5 separate regions of the Mus musculus genome follow, and regions 2, 3, 4 and 5 are each reported to be linked to region 1. The links are microRNA targets in miRTarBase. Many come from high-throughput screens and were not tested one by one. Region 1 holds a microRNA gene; each other region holds the end of a gene's coding sequence. Distances are between the middles of the regions.
Evidence for each region. The annotated mature microRNA mmu-miR-27b-3p reads UUCACAGUGGCUAAGUUCUGC and lies in region 1 at 1,526-1,546, opposite strand. An mRNA with a match to its seed (bases 2 to 7 or 8) in the 3' UTR can be bound and repressed. Matches are read on the target gene's strand: a 7mer-m8 pairs with bases 2 to 8, a 7mer-A1 pairs with bases 2 to 7 and ends in A, and an 8mer does both.

Region 2: the mRNA of Cxcl12 is a reported target of mmu-miR-27b-3p. Seed matches in the 3' UTR shown: 7mer-m8 at 1,848-1,854.
Region 3: the mRNA of Arntl is a reported target of mmu-miR-27b-3p. Seed matches in the 3' UTR shown: 7mer-A1 at 379-385.
Region 4: miRTarBase lists Smad5 as a target of mmu-miR-27b-3p. The part of its 3' UTR that is shown has no 7-base or 8-base seed match.
Region 5: miRTarBase lists Tmem179 as a target of mmu-miR-27b-3p. Seed matches in the 3' UTR shown: 7mer-m8 at 2,735-2,741.

What each region holds. Positions count from the first base shown.
Region 1 is chr13:63,298,156-63,302,305 of GRCm38, reverse strand. It overlaps Mir27b (microRNA 27b), which reads right to left and starts at 1,594; the gene lies at 1,522-1,594. It overlaps Aopep (aminopeptidase O), which reads right to left. Exons shown (of 16, transcript NM_001289926.1): 16 at 1-3,594. The coding sequence ends at 3,454. Mir23b (microRNA 23b) reads right to left here and starts at 1,822; the gene lies at 1,749-1,822. Mir3074-1 (microRNA 3074-1) reads left to right here and starts at 1,023; the gene lies at 1,023-1,107. It also overlaps Mir24-1 and a transcript of Fancc not described here.
Region 2 is chr6:117,172,817-117,176,816 of GRCm38, reverse strand. Cxcl12 (chemokine (C-X-C motif) ligand 12) reads right to left here. Exons shown (of 3, transcript NM_021704.3): 3 at 1,748-3,325. The coding sequence ends at 3,235. Among named protein-coding and RNA genes, the nearest start is that of Cxcl12, 6.3 kb to the right of the region's middle.
Region 3 is chr7:113,313,305-113,317,304 of GRCm38, forward strand. It overlaps Arntl (aryl hydrocarbon receptor nuclear translocator-like), which reads left to right. Exons shown (of 20, transcript NM_007489.4): 20 at 155-822. The coding sequence ends at 315. Btbd10 (BTB (POZ) domain containing 10) reads right to left here. Exons shown (of 11, transcript NM_133700.2): 11 at 2,340-3,435. The coding sequence ends at 3,125. Among named protein-coding and RNA genes, the nearest start is that of Gm33721, 54 kb to the left of the region's middle.
Region 4 is chr13:56,736,956-56,740,955 of GRCm38, forward strand. It overlaps Smad5 (SMAD family member 5), which reads left to right. Exons shown (of 7, transcript NM_008541.3): 7 at 380-4,000. The coding sequence ends at 523. Among named protein-coding and RNA genes, the nearest start is that of Gm45623, 15 kb to the right of the region's middle.
Region 5 is chr12:112,498,215-112,502,214 of GRCm38, forward strand. It overlaps Tmem179 (transmembrane protein 179), which reads right to left. Exons shown (of 4, transcript NM_178915.3): 4 at 1,970-3,708. The coding sequence ends at 3,529. It overlaps A530016L24Rik (RIKEN cDNA A530016L24 gene), which reads left to right. Exons shown (of 5, transcript NM_177039.4): 5 at 1-1,713. Among named protein-coding and RNA genes, the nearest start is that of A530016L24Rik, 11 kb to the left of the region's middle.

The DNA of each region.
Region 1 (4,150 bases):
AAATTCAGAAGCAAACTGGAACACTAGCAAATCTGGTACTTTATTAAGACATTTTAGGCTTTCCTGCATTTTCAAAAACAGGAATGCTCTGTTGACTGAACACATCAAAAGGGCTTTGCAGAATCCTTGGGGACCAGCCACAGGAGGTGTCACATGATTCTGCAGTCTCAGAGCATGGCAGCTAGTTTTTGCAATCACAGGAAGCAGGCAACCGGCTCTCCATCTGCCTAGGGGAGGGTGTCCTTCATTGAATGACTGCCTTAAAGTCACAGCTCAATTCCAGTGTGTAGACTCAGTCTCTCTAGGACTGGGAACAAAGGCAGCTGCCAGGTGCAACAGTTTATGAGGCTCCGCCTTTTATATATGCCACGGGAGCCCAGTCTCTGGAAGCCCAAGATGGACCAACCACTGCTGTGGGCTGATGGCCTTAGCAGCCACATAATCCTCCCTTTGATGTCCAGGGTCAGTGCAGTCCTGGCCCCACCAGGGCTAGGAGAAGGTATATGAGAATCTCACTGTGATCTGTCCTGTGGAGGAAACAGCAATAAAATTTATTACCCAGTCACCACAGCCATTCCAACAGGAGTCCTCCCAGCCTCTGACCTCCACTTGAGAGGGAACTTTTCATGGGAGGACAGGGGCAACACTGAAGCCACACCTCACAATCCTGGGTCTGGGGTGCACAGTCACGGCACAGGCCATGCAGGGCTGTGAAGCCCAGAGAGGTTCAGAAAGGCTCTACAGACAAGGCCCTTCAGACAGGCATTCTCACTGCTCAAGGCAGCGGTGACATGGTGTGCTCTGCCCCAACACGTGGCAAATGCTCAGCGCCTGCCCTACCTGCTTCTAGGGAATGCAAACTTTCCAAGGTTAGCTCTGCACTCTACAAATCCCCACCTCGGGAGCACATACAGAGGGATACCACTGCTGTTGGGTCTGGTACCAGACACTCAGGCCCTTCATCTTCTTCTCCGTGGGAGGCCTGCCTCAGGCACTTACAGATGGGTAGGCTTTTTGCTCAAGGGCTCGACTCCTGTTCCTGCTGAACTGAGCCAGTGTGTGAAATGAGAACTGATATCAGCTCAGTAGGCACCGGAGGGCGGGTCCAATCACAGCTGGGCAGTGCCTCCTGGCGTGCCCTGGGCATCATCTTGCCAGCGACTGTGGAGACATGGAGACCTGGACTGCAAATACAAGAAAGAGTTCACCACGCCCAGCAGGGACAAAGAACCACACCCCCACCCATCACGTGTGGCATCAGCTGAGACAAGGTTGGCTCAGTTTCCTTGATGCACCTGGGTTTAGTTTTCTGTGACTCCCAATACACTTGACATTACAGTGAACTAATTAGCAGTAGAACTGTATTTTCTGTAGACACACTTAAGGGTGGTCAGCACGCTGTTTGCACTCTTGACAACACAGCCTTGAGGCAGGCTGGTCTCTCCTCCTCTGGAGTGACCACCAGGCAGTGGCCTCTGCCTGGCAGCTGCAAGTTAACTGTCCCCATCTCACCTTCTCTTCAGGTGCAGAACTTAGCCACTGTGAACAAAGCGGAAACCAATCACTGTTCACCAATCAGCTAAGCTCTGCACCTTGTTAGAGAGGTCATCGCCGGCCATAATTAAAGGGCTGGTGAGCATCTTCGAAGGCTGTTGGCTTCTTTTGTTTCCAAAGAGCCACAAGGCGCCTCTGTTCTCCAAACTGCAGAGAGAAAGTAGCCACGGTTCTGCAGGAGCAGCCAAGGTCATGGTTGCGTGGTAATCCCTGGCAATGTGATTTTAATCTCAAGTCACAAATCAGCATGCCAGGAACCCAAGCAGCCAGAGCAGGTGAGGGCAGCACCATGCCCAACCACTCCCATCCACATGTGCTGAGTGTCCTCCAAACCGCCTCTGAGCCCACCACGCTAGCAGTGCAGCCTGCTGTCCTTCAGCGCGCTGGCTGCACTGTATAGAGGAGCATAGGGGACTGGGAGACAAAGGACACACTTATCAGCTATGAGACCAATACCTTAGGGACCATCCTTGCTCTGAGTATGTGGCCTTTAACCCTGGGACACACCCTGTTCTCCAATTGCAGACTGAATGGGTTGGGATGTCTCTGGGCCCCTCAGACAGCAGGTGTGGTGTGTAGGGAGGGAGCATCTCTCTGGCTTGCCTGTGACCAAGCATTTGGTTGGATAAGCTGAGGCATAGCACAGAGCTCATAGGGGACCTAGCAAGTTGAGGATTTGCTCACTCAGGGGGCAAAAATACTCTTAGAAGAGTCACTAGGACCACTATGTGACTATGGCTTTCCTAAGTGAAGGCCTAGGGACCTAAAAAGGGAACAGTGGCTTTACTGTGTGACCTTCACACACCACATACCAACAATCCCTCAGCTTACAAGTTTCTAGAGAAATGTCTGCAGGAGGCAGTGAAGAGGCGCCCCGACCGACTCTGTCTATCCACACAGGCCACCGTCCTAGCTTGTAGTGTGCAGGCTTAGCAGGCTGTACCTGCTTACTCCAGCCCACTATCTCCCCTGCTTGACTGTGGCGGTCCCCAGCTCTTCTGCAACAACATGGTCATACATAGTAACATGTTTTCCCTTCATCAGTGTAGTTCTTCAGAAAAATAAACATTACACAGAAGTGGGTTTTATAAAAGTGAAATGTGAAAATGTAAATTTAATGTCTGACAATGGGTTAAGATTAGCAACACAATTCTAAATATTCATTAATTGGTAATCATAGAGAACAACAGAGTAACACAGTGATTGATGTAAAATTTCAAACATATACAAAAGTAAACATCATATGTACCACCATGGCAAGCGATAATGTCCTGGGATGATGTAGAGATGATGACTGGCGACTATGAAAGAGACGCACTAGCCCACACCTGTCTCAGAACTCCACGCCCTGTGGCTGAACTGCATTACTGGTCCACAAGCTGGCTACAGAGGAGGCAAGTTACACCACAGCCAAGGACTCTGGGAGCCAGCGTAAATCCTGTTCCAGCACGAGATGGAAACAGACTTGCCTTTAGGACGCAAGTGTCACTTGGATGGAGGGGCAGAGAAGACCTGCTGCCTACTCTACAGGTCAGAGAACCAGAGGCCAAGGAGTCTCAGGTTTACACAGCCTCTAGGAGAGATGCCTGCATGCTGAAGCCTGGAGCAATGAGGCCATGGACCGCTGTGTTGACCTTGACCCTGGAGCCTGTGGACCTGTGCAAAATCCAGGGTGGCTAAAGCAGTGCCAGATCTGTTGCTCCTTCAGCTGTACCTGCTTCACACCCATGCTTCCAGCAGGTGAGGTGCTCCAGAGATCCTGAGCCTTCTTCCTGTTCCTGAGGACCCACCTTGCTGCTTCCTCCCCAAGACCGTTTGGCAGCCCTCTGGTGCTGTGGCTCATCATGTGGCTTACCAATTGACATGGATGGTTAGAAGAAAGAAAAGAGAATTACCTCTTTAGAACAGCATTTCAGTCACCACCTGGGCCGATGCTCTGTCCATGTGTTCCTTCACCAGCTCAAAGCACCTGTGGGCTAGCTGCTGCAGCCTGGCGTCCTCACTCACCATCAGCTCCCCATACAGGTATATGCCCATGGCCTGCAGACCGTGAAGGCCAGAGAAGAATGGGAAAGGGGTAAGAGGCTGCACATGTTTATGGGGACTTGTTTGTATTGCTTTACACAAGCTGGTCTAAAAGCACAAAGGACAGAGAGAGAGCCTGCTGCCGTGCAGGTGACCAACTGAAGCTTGCACCTTCTACTCTGTCTCCATTGTCCTTATCAACACTCTATGGAAGCTGAACATGGTAGCACAGGCCTTTAATCTCAGCACTGGGAGGAAGAATAGGACGATCTTTGTGAATTCAAGGCCAGCCTGGTCTACATAGCAAGTTCTAAGCCACACAGAGTCACACAATGACACCTTGTCTCAAAAAACAACAGAAATACAGAATTCTATTGATTCTGTCAACCGACTCCGGTGCCCGAGTAGCAAGCTATCCCAAGATGGCTATTGTCAGGAATACACTGGGCAGAGGCAGAGAGCTCTCAAAATGGTCACCATGGAAAACCTTGTCTGTCAGGCCAGTGCATCCTAAAGGGTAGCTGGCATGAGCTTGCTTACAAAGTCCATCACCTAACAGGCCACAGAGACC
Region 2 (4,000 bases), not on the chromosome of region 1:
AAAGATTTCCTGAGAAGCAGCTGACATGTGTTCTGAGATTTCATCCTTTCTGCGTCTCACCCAACACAGTCTGCAGAAACCCTTCTGGACTGGAGTCAAAGCTGCTCCCACAGGCAGGGCAGCAGGGCTGAAGGCTGCAGGTATTTGGAAAAGCTGCGGGTGGGCCTGAGAGCAAGTCAGTTACCACATGTCCCGAGAAGGCCACAAGGGGCAGTGTGGCCGAGGGGAAGGCACTTGCCCTTTCCTGGCTAAGCAGACCACCCTGGCCTTCATGGGATTGTAGGTGTGAGCCTTGTGAAGTCCTGGCCAAGGGGGCTCAGCTCGGGGCAATGCTGCCAGGCTAGGCAGCTCCTCTTTGGCTTAGTCTCCACCCCAGTCTCTGCACATCTTTCTTCATAGCTTTAGCAGACAGAGCAGGGCCTTATGAAGCACATAAATACAGCAGCTGGTGTGGCCACCAGGGCAGGAAAGCCTAAGCACCCGCCCCGGGGTATGGGGTCTGCCCCCGAAGAGGGAAGAGTTTACCGTCAGGTTTGAGCACCTGCCCGGAGTGTGGGGTCTGCCCCCGAAGAGGGAGGAGCGAGTTACAAAGCGCCAGAGCAGAGCGCACTGCGGTCCATCGGCAGGAAGCGGGGAACTAGTTTTTCCTTTTCTGGGCAGCCTTTCTCTTCTTCTGTCGCTTCTTTTTTCCTATCTTTTCTTTTTTCCCCACTTTTTCTTCTCTGCGCCCCCTTAGATAAAATTAGTAGAACCATTAATCACATTGCAACATAGAGGAGTGTATCTATCTCAGTTCCCACAATCTTCATTCAGCATTGCCTTCCGAGTCGATTTAGCTCGGTCTTTGAGTTTGAGGCCTGGAGGCCACTTGGCAAATGTGGTTCACAAGCAATTTATCAAAGAAAACCAGATACTTTCCCCACCCCAAAGTTAAACAGGGGTGCCCTAACCCTATGACCCGGGAACCGCTTACAGGGACTGCCAGTTTGTCTGGCTGGTCCTGGTTTTGAGCATTCCTACCAAAGCTCATCCATCCTGAGACATAAATGCACATCTCAGAGGGCAGGGAAGGAAGCTCTGGGCCTGCCTTCCCTTTCAATGCAGAGGTGAACTCTGCCTTCACTACAAATCTGCATTTCAAATTATACAAAGCAGGGGAGGTGGAGGCCACGGGCTCAGGCAGCCCTCCAAGAGAGGAGGGGGAGAAAGGCAGGATGATTGATCCCACTTCTCTTTTCTGGATGCTGGGGAGCATCCCTAGGGATAACTGAGATTGTTCTAGAGAGCTAAGGAGAAGGATGGTTAGCAGAGTTTTTATTAGAGCAACTGGTTTGTGACTGTCACATTAAAATGATTCAAGCTGAATGGTATTTAATGATTTATGGGGTGAGGCCACCTGTTCCCACAAAAGCCTGATATTAACATGGCCCAGAGTCATGGGATTTTTTTACATGGGAAAATAGGAAAGCTTGATATTACTGGAGTTGAGTCTGGGGATCACATGAGGATGTTAGGAGAACTGAGGAGAAGGAGGAGGAGGGGAAATTAGTGAGTCAAGTATTATTCATTAGAAAACTAGCTTGGGTTAAAAAAAATACACAAAAACTTTCACTGCAGAGGCAGCCTGTTCATGAGACAAGCCTGCCTCAGTGTCTGTCGCTCACCAGGACTGCAGGGCAGCCCACAGCACCTGATCAGCAGGCACACCTGTTTTTCTCCATCTTCAGAAATGTATGTGCACTCCATCTAACAACTAGTAGATTTTATTTCAGGTAAATAAATTCCCACATACGGTAGGAGGTTTACAGCATGAAACAATTAGCATTTTATTGCTAGTGCATATAATGTCACAGTTGATACAATTTCATTCCAAGTGGAAAAATACACCGTGGCTGACACCGGAAAGCTACAATACATTTATATGTCATATATATTTCTTTACAAGTTGCCAGTAGCTCAAGATCATAGAGATATCTACTGGCATTACTATGGCTCCACTTCAAATATATGAATTGACTACAAATATATTCTGAAATACATTTGTCTTCCAAAGAAACATAAAAAGTGCACAAAAATATATGTAAAAAAATGCCTTGTAAATAGTTACCAAAAACCACCAGGGCCGTCTGTGATCATAAGAATGTATGCAAGTTTTATCTTGTCTCCATTTCTGATTGGAACCCAGAATCCCCACTGTGGCTTCATGGCAAGATTCTGGCTTATTCGTTATTATTATTATTATTATTATTTTCATCACTGATATTCGATCAGAGCCCATAGAGCCACTGTTGAAATATATAGGACTCAGGGACAATTACCAAAGTCCAAATCCTCATTTAAACTTCCGTTTATGATTAATTCTCAGACTTGTGTTTTGTGGGTAAATCTAGGCATGTTCTCACATTATCCAGGATGGTCTGGCTCCATTCTACAGGAGGCCAAAGAAAAATCTCACAAAGGGCCCAAGTGAGAGGAAAGCAAAGGGAAGAGAGGGAGGGGGCACCCCACATCACTCTCCTCCCTTCCATTGCAGCATTGGTCCGTCAGGCTACAGAGGTGAGAAGCGGAAGTCAGATGAAGCATGCGTTTGGAGGCAAGCAGAGAGCAGGAACGGCTAGGAAAGGGTCTCTGAGCACAGCTTCAGGGATCACTTCTAAAGGAAGCTTCCCGACCCTGGCACTGAACTGGATAAAGGAGCCTCCCTCTGCCGGATCTTGTGTTGACTCAGGACAAGGCATCTGTCGAGGAGCGCCCCCTGCAGGACAAGCCCTGCAGCGTTCCTCGGACTCTGCTCTGGTGGAAGGTTTCTCTCTAGGGCTCCCTGCAAAGCCACCGTCTATAACTGTGCCCAGAGGCCCCAGGGCAAAGAGAAGCTCCAAAGCAAACTGAATACAGCCCTTGAAGTAATCACTGCTTTTTAAAATGAAGATGAGGATGAGGAGAATGGGGATGAAGCTAACTGGTTAGGGTAATACAATTCCTTAGAAAAACCCCAGTTATAAAAGCTCCATTGTGCACGGGCGAGGGCAGGGATGAATATAAGCTGCAATATCGTACCATATGCTATGGCGGAGTGTCTTTATGCTGGCAAACCTTAGCATGACCCCAGTCAGTGCTGTCCCGCCGGCCATCCTGGCCAGGGTTCAGGCCCTCCTCCCCACCACTGCCCTTGCATCTCCCACGGATGTCAGCCTTCCTCGGGGGTCTACTGGAAAGTCCTTTGGGCTGTTGTGCTTACTTGTTTAAAGCTTTCTCCAGGTACTCTTGGATCCACTTTAATTTCGGGTCAATGCACACTTGTCTGTTGTTGTTCTTCAGCCGTGCACTGCCAAAACACAAGGGGAGAGACGCTGTACAGCCAAGCGGGAGAAAGCGATCCTGTGGGCTCACCCAACACACCCAGCTAAAGGTCCTCACTGCAGGGCCCAGCTGCTGCTCCCGGAAGCTTCAGTTTTGGAAGACATAGCACTTGAATCGTGTTGGGACCACCACCGCAGAGTTAGGGACGTGCTAAGGATGTCTCCCAGGGGACACAGAGAAGAGACCACAGTGGAGGCATTTGAGCTTCTGGCCAAGTTGGAGCTTGGCAAGTGAGGAAAGCTAAAGGAAAAGGAAGGACGAATATCCCACAGGAGTCAAAGTGCCCAAAGGGTGTGGAGGAAGAACCACCCAGAAGGCGCGGATGACTGATATCATGGTGGGGGGGAGGTCTTGGAAAATTCTGGAGAGTGCCAGAAGCAGCCTAAGAACTTTTGACAGAGCACCTTGATAGTACATGGGACAACCTTAAAGGTAGCTCTGGAGGAAGACGGCAGGAGTCCAGAAGGGGAGGAACAGGGCAGTTCAGGTGGGCAAGGAGCAGTCTAGACAAATTGTCCAATGGTTGCCTGAGCGCGTTTACAAGTTCACAGAATGCTTCAAGGTCTTAGCTTTGTGGATTTGTTAATTGACGCCGTGTTCTTTCTCCCATCCCTAGAACTTCCTAATGGGCAGATGAACC
Region 3 (4,000 bases), not on the chromosome of region 1:
GGGTAGTAACAATGAAAAGTTATGGCAATGGAATCCCCCAAATAACCCCTTGCTCTTGTTAAATAAACGTCCTTATTGGTGTGTTGAGAAGTTGCTTTCCAAATATAAGTATGCTTTGTTATTCCTTACTGACAGTCCTTTCTTCCTTCCACAGGTGAGAACCCCCACATAGGCATCGATATGATAGATAACGACCAAGGATCAAGTAGTCCCAGTAACGATGAGGCAGCAATGGCTGTCATCATGAGCCTCTTGGAAGCAGATGCGGGGCTGGGTGGCCCCGTTGACTTTAGTGACTTGCCATGGCCGCTGTAGACACTACATTTGCTTTGGCAACAGCTGCAGTATCAAAGTGCATTAATGGTGAAGTTTTACAGTCTGTGAAGCTTACTGGATAGAGAGAGAACAGCTTTTATGTACTGACTCCATAAAAGCCACCTCAGAGCCATTGATACAAGTCAATCTACCATGTGTAACTTCAGACAAAGTGGAACTAAACCTGCTCCAGTGTTTCCTCATCATTGAGTTTGGGCTAGCTGTGGATAGCTTGCATTAATTGTATATTTTGGATTTTGTTTGTGTTGAATTTTTTAATCATTGTGCACAGAAGCATCATTGGTAGCTTTTATATGCAAAATGGTCATTTCAGATGTATGGTGTTTTTACACTACAAAGAAGTCCCCCATGTGGATATTTCTTATACTAATTGTATCATAAAGCTGTTTATTCTTCCTTGTAAGAATCCTTTACTATAAATATGGGTTAAAGTATAATGTATTAGACAGTTAAATATTTTTAATAAATGTTTCCCTTGTTCTATAAGTACTGTTCCCAATTGATAATTAGGAAGAAAATCTTCATATGCTACAGGGCTGGTTCATCCACTTCACCAGCGGTCTAAACACATTCCTGCTGTTATGTTTACAATGTCCTTTTGCTCTTATAATGACTTCTTCCATGCTACCAGCTTAGACATATTATAAAAATAGCTCACTTCCAAACTGTAGCCACCTCAACTTATATGAAAACAAAGATATCAACTCCAATTTCCAGTGCTTAGATTTCAAGATTACAAGCTGGCTTCTCTAGACCTGCAGTTACATGGTGTGCTCAAGTCTACCAGGGGTAGATGTAAGCGACGGCATCTGCTCTCTTTCTATGGTCCCATCGACAAACTGAGATGTGATCCCACCAAACTAAAGTTCACTCTGGAAACCAATGGGTTGGTTTACTGGGCTTCCATACAGACACAGGCGAGAGGTTCCCTACAGGTATGCTCCTACTCAAAGGCCACACTAGAAAGCCTTTACTGGGGCTGGAGAGATGGCTCAGCAGTTAAGAGCACTGACTGCTCTTCTGAAGGTCCTGAATTCAAATCCCAGCAACCACATGGAGGCTCACAACCATCCGTAATGAGATCTGGTGCCCTCTTCTGGTGTGTCTGAAGACAGCTACAGTGTACTTACATTTAATAATAAATTAAAAAAAAAAAAAAAAAAGAAAGCCTTTACCCAGCTGAGAAAACAGGTTTCCCATAGGCATCCAGATGGAGCCTTAACCTTTTCCTCATCTTCCCCAGCCTTATATATTCTTATTCCCTCCAAGGCCATGCCCAGTTAAAGGCAGAGTTGTATAGAACTGGAGGCGGAACAGCTGGACACGCAGGTGAGGAAGGTCTTGTGATTGTCTCCACATCTCCTTGGGGGGATATAAACAGTCAAAAAGCCTATCGAGTGTTCTTTTGCAAACAGGCACAGCTGAGCACTCCAAGATGGCAATTCTGTGGCTCAGAGGGCAGTCCTGGACTATTTGTATGGCTACAAAGAGTTAAGTGATCTAAGACCCAAAGCACTTAAAATATGAATCTTTGTTGTAAACCATGAAATATTTAGAGTATTTGATGGAAAGAATATTGAATTAATTAGAAACTAGTTCTGAAAGTTAGGGTTCCTAATACAGGCGTCATTCCATTTTCATATCCTGAAAATCTTGATCAACTGCTTTGGATTTATAGCATTTTTCCTGAACTTATAGGAAATCTAAGTGCCTCTTGCAAATATACCAAAGCGCTTTTAAAACTGTCATTTGAGCCGGGCGTGGTGGCGCACGCCTTTAATCCCAGCACTCGGGAGGCAGAGGCAGGCGTATTTCTGAGTTCGAGGCCAGCCTGGTCTACAAAGTGAGCTCCAGGACAGCCAGGGCTATACAGAGAAACCCTGTCTCGAAAAACCAAAAAAAAAAAAAAAAAAAAAAAAAAAAACTGTCATTTGATTTCTAGTTATACATAACATATATGACACAGAATCTAGCCAAGGTGTTCATAAAGTTGGTCAGAAACATTAAAACAATGAAATTTTATTTTGATGAAAAACTCGAGTTTACAATCATTTAGTAAATGAAGAGCAAACAGTTTGTTTTTCTATCCCATAACTCTTAAGAAAAAAGCATTAGTAAATAAATATATGAACAGATTAAGGATAAGGCAGACTGGACAGTAAACCACCTCTTGACGTTCACCCTCCCTGCATGTGACTCACTCTAATAGGGCTGCAGGGCTCTGGAGATGAGTGAACCAACACTATAAGCATCAAATTTTATCCTAATTGTTTAAATAAACCCAAGATAAATATGTTTTTGCTTGATGTGGGCCAACTATACATACTGTACTGAGGAATACTCTGATAGAAGCACTTATGTTATACTGTGCATCACAGCTCTAAAATGGCTTCAACAGCTCCATTTAACCACCATCTATAAAGTGCAACTTTGTAATATTCATCTTACCTGAGGCAAGATAAATATCAATCTACACTTAAAGTACCCCAGCTGCCAAATTCCCACCACTTCTGAGAAAACCTAGATATGTGAAAAAGGACTGTCCCCATACAAAGAACCAATTTCACAAACCTACTGGTAAACAAATACATTTATAGAACTCGAACGAGGATGCTAAAGTTGTACTCATTAAAAAACCATTCAGCTACCTTTGGTCTTTAAAAAAGCCTACACTGCAGTATCCTAAACATGTGCATCTCACAATGAAGAAAAGTGGCCTCGCAGTGCAGAAGGAGGAGTACGACGTCACTGTGAAGAGTAGCATGCTATGGTTTCAGGAACATCAGCATCACAGCATTGGATTCTGTGCATCAGGATCGAGGTCATTGTTGCCCGAGGCAGGGTGGCTGGGAAGGATATCCAGCTCGTCCACCTGTGGAGTAGGGTGCATGACTACTAGCTGGTCCTGGGGAATGTCTGCAGCAGCTGCTGCCAGATTGGTAATGGATTTACTCTTTACACACTGAAAGTCTACATGCCGACTCTTTCCTTCCTCCTTCTCCCAGGACATTCGAATGAAGGGTCTTTGGACATAATTGTAAATGACTTCTGGACGGCCCCCTGGCCTTTTCTTTACTTTTTCTTTGTAGGTAGGATAGCCTGGAGGAAAGAAAGGAATTTTAAAAGGGGACACTTACAACTTCTCATTCAAGTTAGCTGTTGAGAGCTTTTAAGTTACTTAGTACTCAACCCCCACAAAACACTTTTAAGTGGGACCATGGAGGGTGGCTCTCCATTCAGTGGTGTGTAATCTGCAGTGGGTCTAGGCTTTATCCGAGTACCAGCAGCACTCATTCTCCTCACGGGATGACTGAGCAGAAAGGCCCGAAATTTCTGGCTCCATTAGTCTTCTAGCTTCCTTAAGCTCCAGCCTTATCTTTATATTGCTTTAGAATTTTTGTTAAATAATAAAGAATAATCAGCTCTCTAACAGGTTCTTAAATTCTGCAGCTAGCTTAGCAAGGGCAATATTTTAATATTACACCATTTTATTATGACTTTCGACAGTGAATTAAATTTCTATCTACAAAGAGCTTTACTTAATTATAATTTTTTTGAATCATAGTCACTAAAAGTAACAACTAGTAAAAACAACCCAAAGTTTCAGAAAGCTTTCAATTATTTATTAGTAAAGAGACTTCTCCAAACACATAGAGTCCTAGGA
Region 4 (4,000 bases), 6.6 Mb from region 1:
TCCATACTCTCTCATCAGATACAAACACGCAGGGACAGGAGCCCCCCAAGTCTGCCCCATGAGGGCGTGGGCTTTATTTACTCAGTGAGAATATGTATCACAGCACGGCATGATTTAGCTGTGAAGGATCATAGTCTGGAGTTTTTGTAACAGTTAAACATGTTCTTAGTCCTATGGGTCTGTGTCTGAGAAATTCTGTTATTTGTTGAAGAGTTGAATACTGCAGATGTGTCTTTTAATACCATATGTGAGTGCTTACTGGTTTTCTGTAGTTTAAGTAAGTCTTATGTGTTTCTGCAGTTAAGCTTTTTATTGTTAAAGTTAGTGTGGACTGTTGACTGTTCAAGAGCGATTTGCTTTGCTGCCTGTTCATTTCCAGGGCTGGGGAGCAGAGTACCACCGACAGGACGTCACCAGTACTCCCTGCTGGATTGAGATTCACCTCCACGGGCCTCTGCAGTGGCTGGATAAAGTCCTTACTCAGATGGGCTCTCCGCTGAACCCCATTTCTTCTGTTTCATAGTGCAGAAGTATTCTTTCAACTATATTTTTAGTGGACTTGTTTTAATTTTAGAGGAATTTCCAGTACAGATGCTGTGAGCTGACATGGAAAACAGATATTATTTTTTCTACGTAATTGTGACCAACACATTTGTATTTTATGATGATATTACATTTGTTTGTATTCGTGTTCATTGTGATTAACTTTCAAAAGTATTGTAAACGATGTAGAGTATTTTGCCCCTGTTGAAATGTTTAGCATTGATCTTAAACTGGAACGTACTTTTTCTTATTGTCCCAACGTTTTTTAATTTGTTAAATTTTTTTTACAAAGTAGTTCATCACATAATGAAATTTTATCCTATAAGAGAACATATATTGTGGAAAGCAGTAGATGATATTTCTCTGGGAATTTCTTTGCCTTACCACCTTTGAAAAAGCATACATTGTTTGCAAAACCTCAAAGTAGGGCTTGCTTAAAGGAAACTGTTGAATCTTGTTTGAAGGACACTGCAGTCCTAACGTGTTCAGTGAAAGCAAGGTGGTAGATTTCTGGACGTCATACATTTACATTTAATATAGGTAATATTCATCAGTGTAATGTGACTTCATGCCATATATATTTTGTAAAACAATTCCTTTTTAAAAACTTCAAGTATTTCTCATTTACTCAAATTTGTTGTAAGTCCTACTTAACAGTTAGTTACTATGTGCTCTGTGGCCTTGTTCAGCATTGTTTGCTGCTTTGGGCCAACAATTCAAGAACTCTAATTTTCCTGTGCATTAATCTTTTCATTTTGCACTTTTATGGGTGACTGTCTTAGTGTAGCCTCTGGTAAAATACTATTAGGTGGCCTGGTTTTAGAGCTCCTCCTCGCTGCCTTGGCACTCCTTTGTGCAACACGACCACTTAGAGATGACAGCTGTGAGCTGTGCTGCTTTTTCTAGCCTTTAATTTCCAATGTAGTTTATAATGTTGTTCTTCTATAGCTCCAGCTAAGGTGCCTGTTAGTCCCCTACAATGTTATGAGCATTATTGACATTGAAAGGTTATGTATGTATGAATACCTTTGCTCCTTACCAGACTTGTCATACAAGGACTCGTGCAGTGTAGCCAGTAGAGGCTCTTTGGTTGGCCCAAGAATGAGGCTGTTGGTGTAAGTGAATCACAATAGGGATTGGGATAGTTCATGTCATATGTCATATAGCAAGACAATGTAGAGTGTAGGCTTGTCTCTCTGCATCAACGCTCTGCCTCTTTCTTTTTATCCTTTTAGAACCTACATGGACGCTAATCTCCACAACACTGTTGGATGTGAACACTCTTAAGACACTCATCTAGTTCACTGTGCCTTGTCCTTAGGACTCTTAACCACTTTCTAGGGAGCAGTTATGGCCTGAGATGGACAGTCATGGCCTGAGAATGAAGACACTACTTTGATAAAGAAAAAGGCCTCATTTGCCTATCAGAGTGAGAAAGGTTTTTTTCTGGTGCCTTTTGAAAATATACAGAGCCACTTGGTTCTTCTGCTGAAAATGTAATTTTGGTTTGACTTTTTAGAGTGCCCTTCCTGCCTTTATGAGGAAAACAGCTATTTTTTTTTTTGGGGGGGGGGATTCCTTTTGTTTTCTGTGCCATTATTTATTGCCTTTCAGAGTGCAACCATTGGGTGGCTTTGCTCCTTCAGAGAGGGCTCCTTGATAGCCTTCAGTAGCTTGAGCTGTAGACATAAGTATTCCATAGCAAGAGTGTGTCAGCTCCATGAGAGAGATGTCTGCTTTATAGCCGAGGCAGAAACCGTTCATGTTCCTTTACTTGGCAGCCTTCAGGAACAGGTTTGTAAGAACGTGTCTTGAGTTGAGTGAGTGTATGTCTGTGAGCTCTGCTGAAGTCTGGACACAAGGGCCTTGCCTGCTCCTTTTTTCAGCAGTGGGTTACATGTTGTCTCTCCACAGTCTTCATGTCATAGGTCTCGGACTTGCAGAGTCCTATGTGGCCTGCCATCTGTACAGTGGCAGGACTGAAGCTCTGAGCTGTTCTGAGGTTCATGGAGAAATCCCAACCTATTCTGTGGTCAGTAAATGGAGACTGTGTAGTCTACCTGCTCCTGTACTGTCCTTACTGTATGTAAGGATATACAGACGCCTGTGGGTAGGCAGTACTCACAGTGAGATGAAGACAGCAAGTGTGCACTGAACCACAGAGGGCAGGGAGTAGGGCCTCTGAAGAAGCCACCAGACCAGACCAGTGCCGGTACAGTCTTTGTCAGAGATGGCTCTGATGGGGCCCAGACTGACCCTGACCATGCTGAGTTGCTGAGGGTAGCCTTCAGTTCTCTACCCTCTGAAGTGCTAGGATGACAGACATCCGCCATCATACCCAGCTTCCGTGGTGCTAAGGATCAGCCTCAGTCTTCAGGCGTGCTAGGCATGTACTTTGCCAAGTATTTAGTATACAAAATACATTAGTATCTGCCAGGGAAAAAAGATTTGCAAATAATAAAGATTGCCATCAGTTTGATAAATGTTGTAAATGGAAGAATCAAAATCTCAGCGATGGATTACAGCAACAAGATGCTGCCTAGGAAAAGCAGGACCAAGAGGTACATTTGACTAGTATACCTTCAGCGTAGCGTGATGACCTCACTGATGTCACCCAACTGAACTTAAGGGCTGTAAGTAGGCGTGCTGTGGGCCTTCCAGAACTAGAGAAAATTATAGGAGGAAGTCAGTTCTAAAGTATCAAAAGCTGGGTAATGGTGGCACATGCCTTTGATTCTAGCACTCGGGAAGCAGGGGCTAGCCTAGTCTACAGAGCAACTTCTACACAGAGAAACTGTCTTGGAGGAAAATAAAAAAAGAAAAGTCAAAGAGCAAACAAATAGAACAGAGTAGGAATCCGTGTCCCCTTTTTTCTATGTTTCACGGTTGCAGGTGTAAGAAAAGTAGTCATAGATGTGGCTGAGTTTCTAAGATGAAACCAGTAGTAAGATTGCTAAATATAACACTTCAACCAAGTTAAACACCCTTTGGGGGTATGAATGAAAGTAACACTGCAATATGAAATGAACCGTGCAAGTAACACTTGGGGTTACCTCACAGTCTCCCTATGCCTGAGAGGACTGTGGGAAACATTTCCATCCCCTGCCAGTATCGCCATTGGGAGGACAGAGTAGATGAAGAAGTGAAGTCTTACTGGTCCAGGGCACGCCTGTCAGCAATGCCATTTGTGCTTCTGCCACAGAGAGCACCGAGAGGCTTGGCTCAGTATCCTCGAACCTTCTCTGGTCACTTCCCTGGCAGCACTTGGGTCCCTGTCACTCACTGGTCTCTTAAAAGTCCCGTCTCTTTGCTTCCTAAAGATTCTCTAAAAAAATTACTATTTTTTATTTCTTTTTTAAAAGTCTTTGTTATTTTGTTTTGGGATACAGTCTCTTTGTACAGTCCTGGCTGGCCTGGAAATTACTATGTAGGCCAGCCTCAAACTTGAAGTAATTCT
Region 5 (4,000 bases), not on the chromosome of region 1:
CCAATGCTTGACAAACCCAGGAACTCTAAGAGGTTGCTATCAACCTTTAAATGGGAAAGGAGGGAGGTTCTGGCTCGATGCTACAGGCACCTCCTACTCCAGTCAGCACGGGCTGGGATCTTGGGATTTTAAGACTGAATCAGAGAAAGAACTCGACCATTATAGCCGGGAATTCCTATGTTCCTGCCCAGTCCTCTGTCTTGGGAGCCATAGCCTGGATGTTACCGTACATAGCTCTTTGAGGGTGCGTTTGGGAAGGCGAGCCCCAATCTCCTGCTGCTTTGAGGGCTGGGCCCAGCTTTTGCCACACCATCACGAGACAGGGTGCCTCTCTCGCTCCAGTTCATGGAGCCCATGAGAATTGTCCTTTTCTCTGAGCCCAGGTCTGAATTCCTCCACTTCATGCGCAGTGATCCGTCAGGGGTCACTGTGGTGTGGGAACAGAGTCCAGCTCTGAACACAGTTGCTCTCAGAACAGGAGTGTGGCACCGAGGGTCTTCTTCCGGGGCCACACACAGGCCCAAAGCCATCGGGCCTGCCCACCAGCTGCAGGCCCTGTGAGTGTCCTGAACATCTGTGTACACTGTTCTGTCACTCATGTTGAAAGGCAAGGGGAAGCGAGCACCAGCGTGTAGCAACCGCTTCAGAGCATCCCAGACCCGCCTGGAGGGGGAGCCCTGAGCTCAGCGGGGAGGCCCAGTCGGACACCAGGAGGATCCGCAAGGGGGACCCTGTACCACCCTGGAACAAACAAATGAGCAGGGTTTGGGAGCCAGGATAAGACTGGGGGTAGTCCTAAGGTACCCCTCTACTTAGGTGGGCAGACAGGGACCCCATATTAAAATACCTGCAGCCTCTTCAACCTCGGGATGATTGCAAAATAAACAGAGGGAGACACTGTGGAAGAATCCCTCCGGGTCCAAGCATGTTCATCTAGGTGCCAGAGCACACTCCCACCCCTCCACTCACTCGCCCCCACAGCCTACAGGTGCCTTGCAGCTGTCATCCACAAGAAGTCAGGGGACCCACCATGCACCCAGGACCACATCCTCCCCAGCAAGACATGCCAAGCTTCTCAGATCACTGAGGTGCAATCTGCCCCTCTCTGGCCTTCCGGTGCCCTGCACAGTGGTCTCCAGATGCAGAATTTGAGAGCACAGTAGGTGTGAGCCCAGTGGAGCAAAACCCTTCTCTAGAAGGCGTCTAGAAGTGGTCTAAAAAGGACCAGTCTGGAAAGCAACTCACCAGGACTGGCTATCACCATGGTTACTGTTGCCTGCACCAGTCCAGCTCCATCTCATCCTGCCCTGGTCAAAGACAGGCTCATTATTGACTGGCTTGTATTCCAGATATGGAAACAGACACTTAGAGGCGAGATGACAGACCTCCAGACCACTCTTCCATCCCTGCTTCTGAGGGTGGATGCCCTTCAGGAGGGGGAGTGTTCACCCCATGTTTTACAATGGAGAGCCAGGGCTTCCCACCTTATAGCCAGCATTTGCTGCAAAGGTCACAGAAAAAGTGTGCCTCGCCCACTCACTCTGTAAGGGCCACAAAACAGCCCCAGCTCGGGTTTTTTTTTTTTTTTTGGGTTTCGCTTTGCTTTGTTTCATTTTTTTATGGTGCAAACCCAACATAGCAAGGCCAAGAGTCTGCCACTGCTACATTCCCCAGCCTTATTTTGTCTTAGAATAAATGTTCAAGGACATACACAGAGATGCATGTGCCCCAGAGCTGTCACCAAAACCCATCCTCATGCCCAGGGTGGGGGTGGGGTGGGGCGTAGGAATGGTGGGGGGAGCTGCAAGAGTCAAACTCCTTACAATGCACAGACATGAAGGTCCACCCCATGAGCCCTGGAGTCAGACTGGTTAAGCCTGAGAGCAAGTGGGGAGGGGTGGAGACTGGAGGTGGGGGGGCCTGGAGTGGACTGGCTGGCTAGCAAAGACACAGACTCCTCATCCACACAGCATCTCAGATGTTTCGTCTTTATTTTATTTTGACTTGAGGATCAGACACACGGAGGCATCACTACCATCACTACCAGCTTCTCCAGGAAGACTGAAACCAGGGCTTCCCTGTAGCAAGCTGGAAAGGAGCAGAGATGTCTGGCAGGCAACCTGGGGACCTCTCTGCAGCCTCTGCCTGTCTCTTGCCATCCATTCCATAAGACCTCTCTTGGACAGACACCCCTGCCCATGGCTTCAGCCAACAGGTCCTGCCAACACTCCTAGGCCCAGAGGCCCTTCCCCAGGAGTCCCTGGAACACCAACATCTGGGGGACAAGTCTAGGCATCCCAGACTAACTCTCCAGAATCCAAAAGAGGCAGCTGCCAAGGTAGACCCACACCTGAGGCAGATCCTAGGTCCCAGAGGCCCCATCCAGCCTCCTGTTCCTTCAGGTCCTAGAGGGCTACAGCCTTAGTAAGGATATGAGGCAGATGAGGAAGGAGCCAATCCTGGGAAAACAGAGGATTCTCAAGGCTAGGCAGTGTCGCCATGTCCCATAGATTAGGGCTTGTGTGAGGGTGTGGAGAAGAGACCAGGTCAGTTTGGAGACCAGATCCTCTTCTGGGAGCTCATCAAGGCCAAAGCCCTCAGAGAAGACTGGAGTGTCGGTCGGCCCAACCCTGACCTCCTCAGACAGGCACCCCCTTGCACAGCACCCTGACCATCCTTGCTGGCTTCAATTTTTAGGGCCCAACTGACACACACACACACACACAAAGGCTCCTCACAGTGAGCCTGGAAGCTTGTGCCTTCCACCTGGAAACACACCAGCCACAGATGGACACTGGCCTCAGACACAGGTCAGGATCACCTTGCTTGAAAATTGGGGACAGCGTTGCAGCACAACTGCAGACTAGGGCCAGCAACATTGAACGCACTCACTGAGATCCAGATGGGCGGGGCCTCTTCGGCCATGGGGGCCTCACCCTTGCAACACAGAGAACCATGCCACCTAGAAAGCCTCAAAGGGAGGAGAGTGGAACTCTCCCATGACAGCCAAGCAGCCCAGGATGGCCTCTCAGAGCAGGGGATGGAGCCCAGCCCAGGGTCCCACATTCCTACCAGGATCCTCTGCCCGCTGCCTTCTCCAGTGCCTTCTGAGAACCTTGGCTGAGTGCTATAGGATGGGAAGTCAGCCCCTTATGGAAGGGGCAGGGACCACGTGCGCTGGAGCCTGTGGTGGTGCAAAGGCTGCTAACCTGGCGGCGACGGCACCTCGGTTCTGCACTCACACCCCCATCCACACACATGCTCACATGCATGCACATATATAGACAAAGGGTCACACGGGTGAAGGAGTATGCGTCAAAGGCCAGGACTGGAAGCTGGAAGTCACCCCCTCCCCAAGTCTCTGGATCTCTGCCCCATCACTGTCAGGCTCTCCATGGGAACTCAGGTGCCCTGCTCACGGTGGGCGGGGCCAAGAGACACATGCAGAGCTGTGTTGGCCAGCCTGGATGGGTCCCCAGCGCCCCCTCCCCATGCAGGCCTCAGGAAAGGGGGCCACCCTTGCACAGCCTAGATGACAGCACTCTTCTCCCCCTGGAAGGAGGTGCGGGAGGTAGGCCTGGCTAGCAGAAGCTCCTTCTCGTGAACCAGGCTGTCCAACAGGTCCTCCTGGCGGTAGTTGTGATAAACCTTCAGGAAAGCCAGAGTGGTGATCGCCAGCCAGGCCAGCCAGGAGGCCCACAGTCCAAACTGCATGGAAGGCAGAGAAGTGTCAGGGGGAGTGTGGCTCATTGCCCAGTGTGCTCAGTACCCACCTCCTCGCTCTAGCTCTGTGGGAAAGGGAAGGGAACATTAAGGCAAGAGCAGGCAGGCGGGCAGCAGGGACCTGAGAGCCCATGCACACCCACATTTGGCTTATTCTCTGCAGTGATCATTATGTCCTATAGTCACAAGAACCCAGCTTTGTGCAGAGCCTTGGGGGCTTGGCCATTATGGAGGAGCAGGCCCTGGGCGGAGCTCTCCCCTCCCCCACTACTCTGGG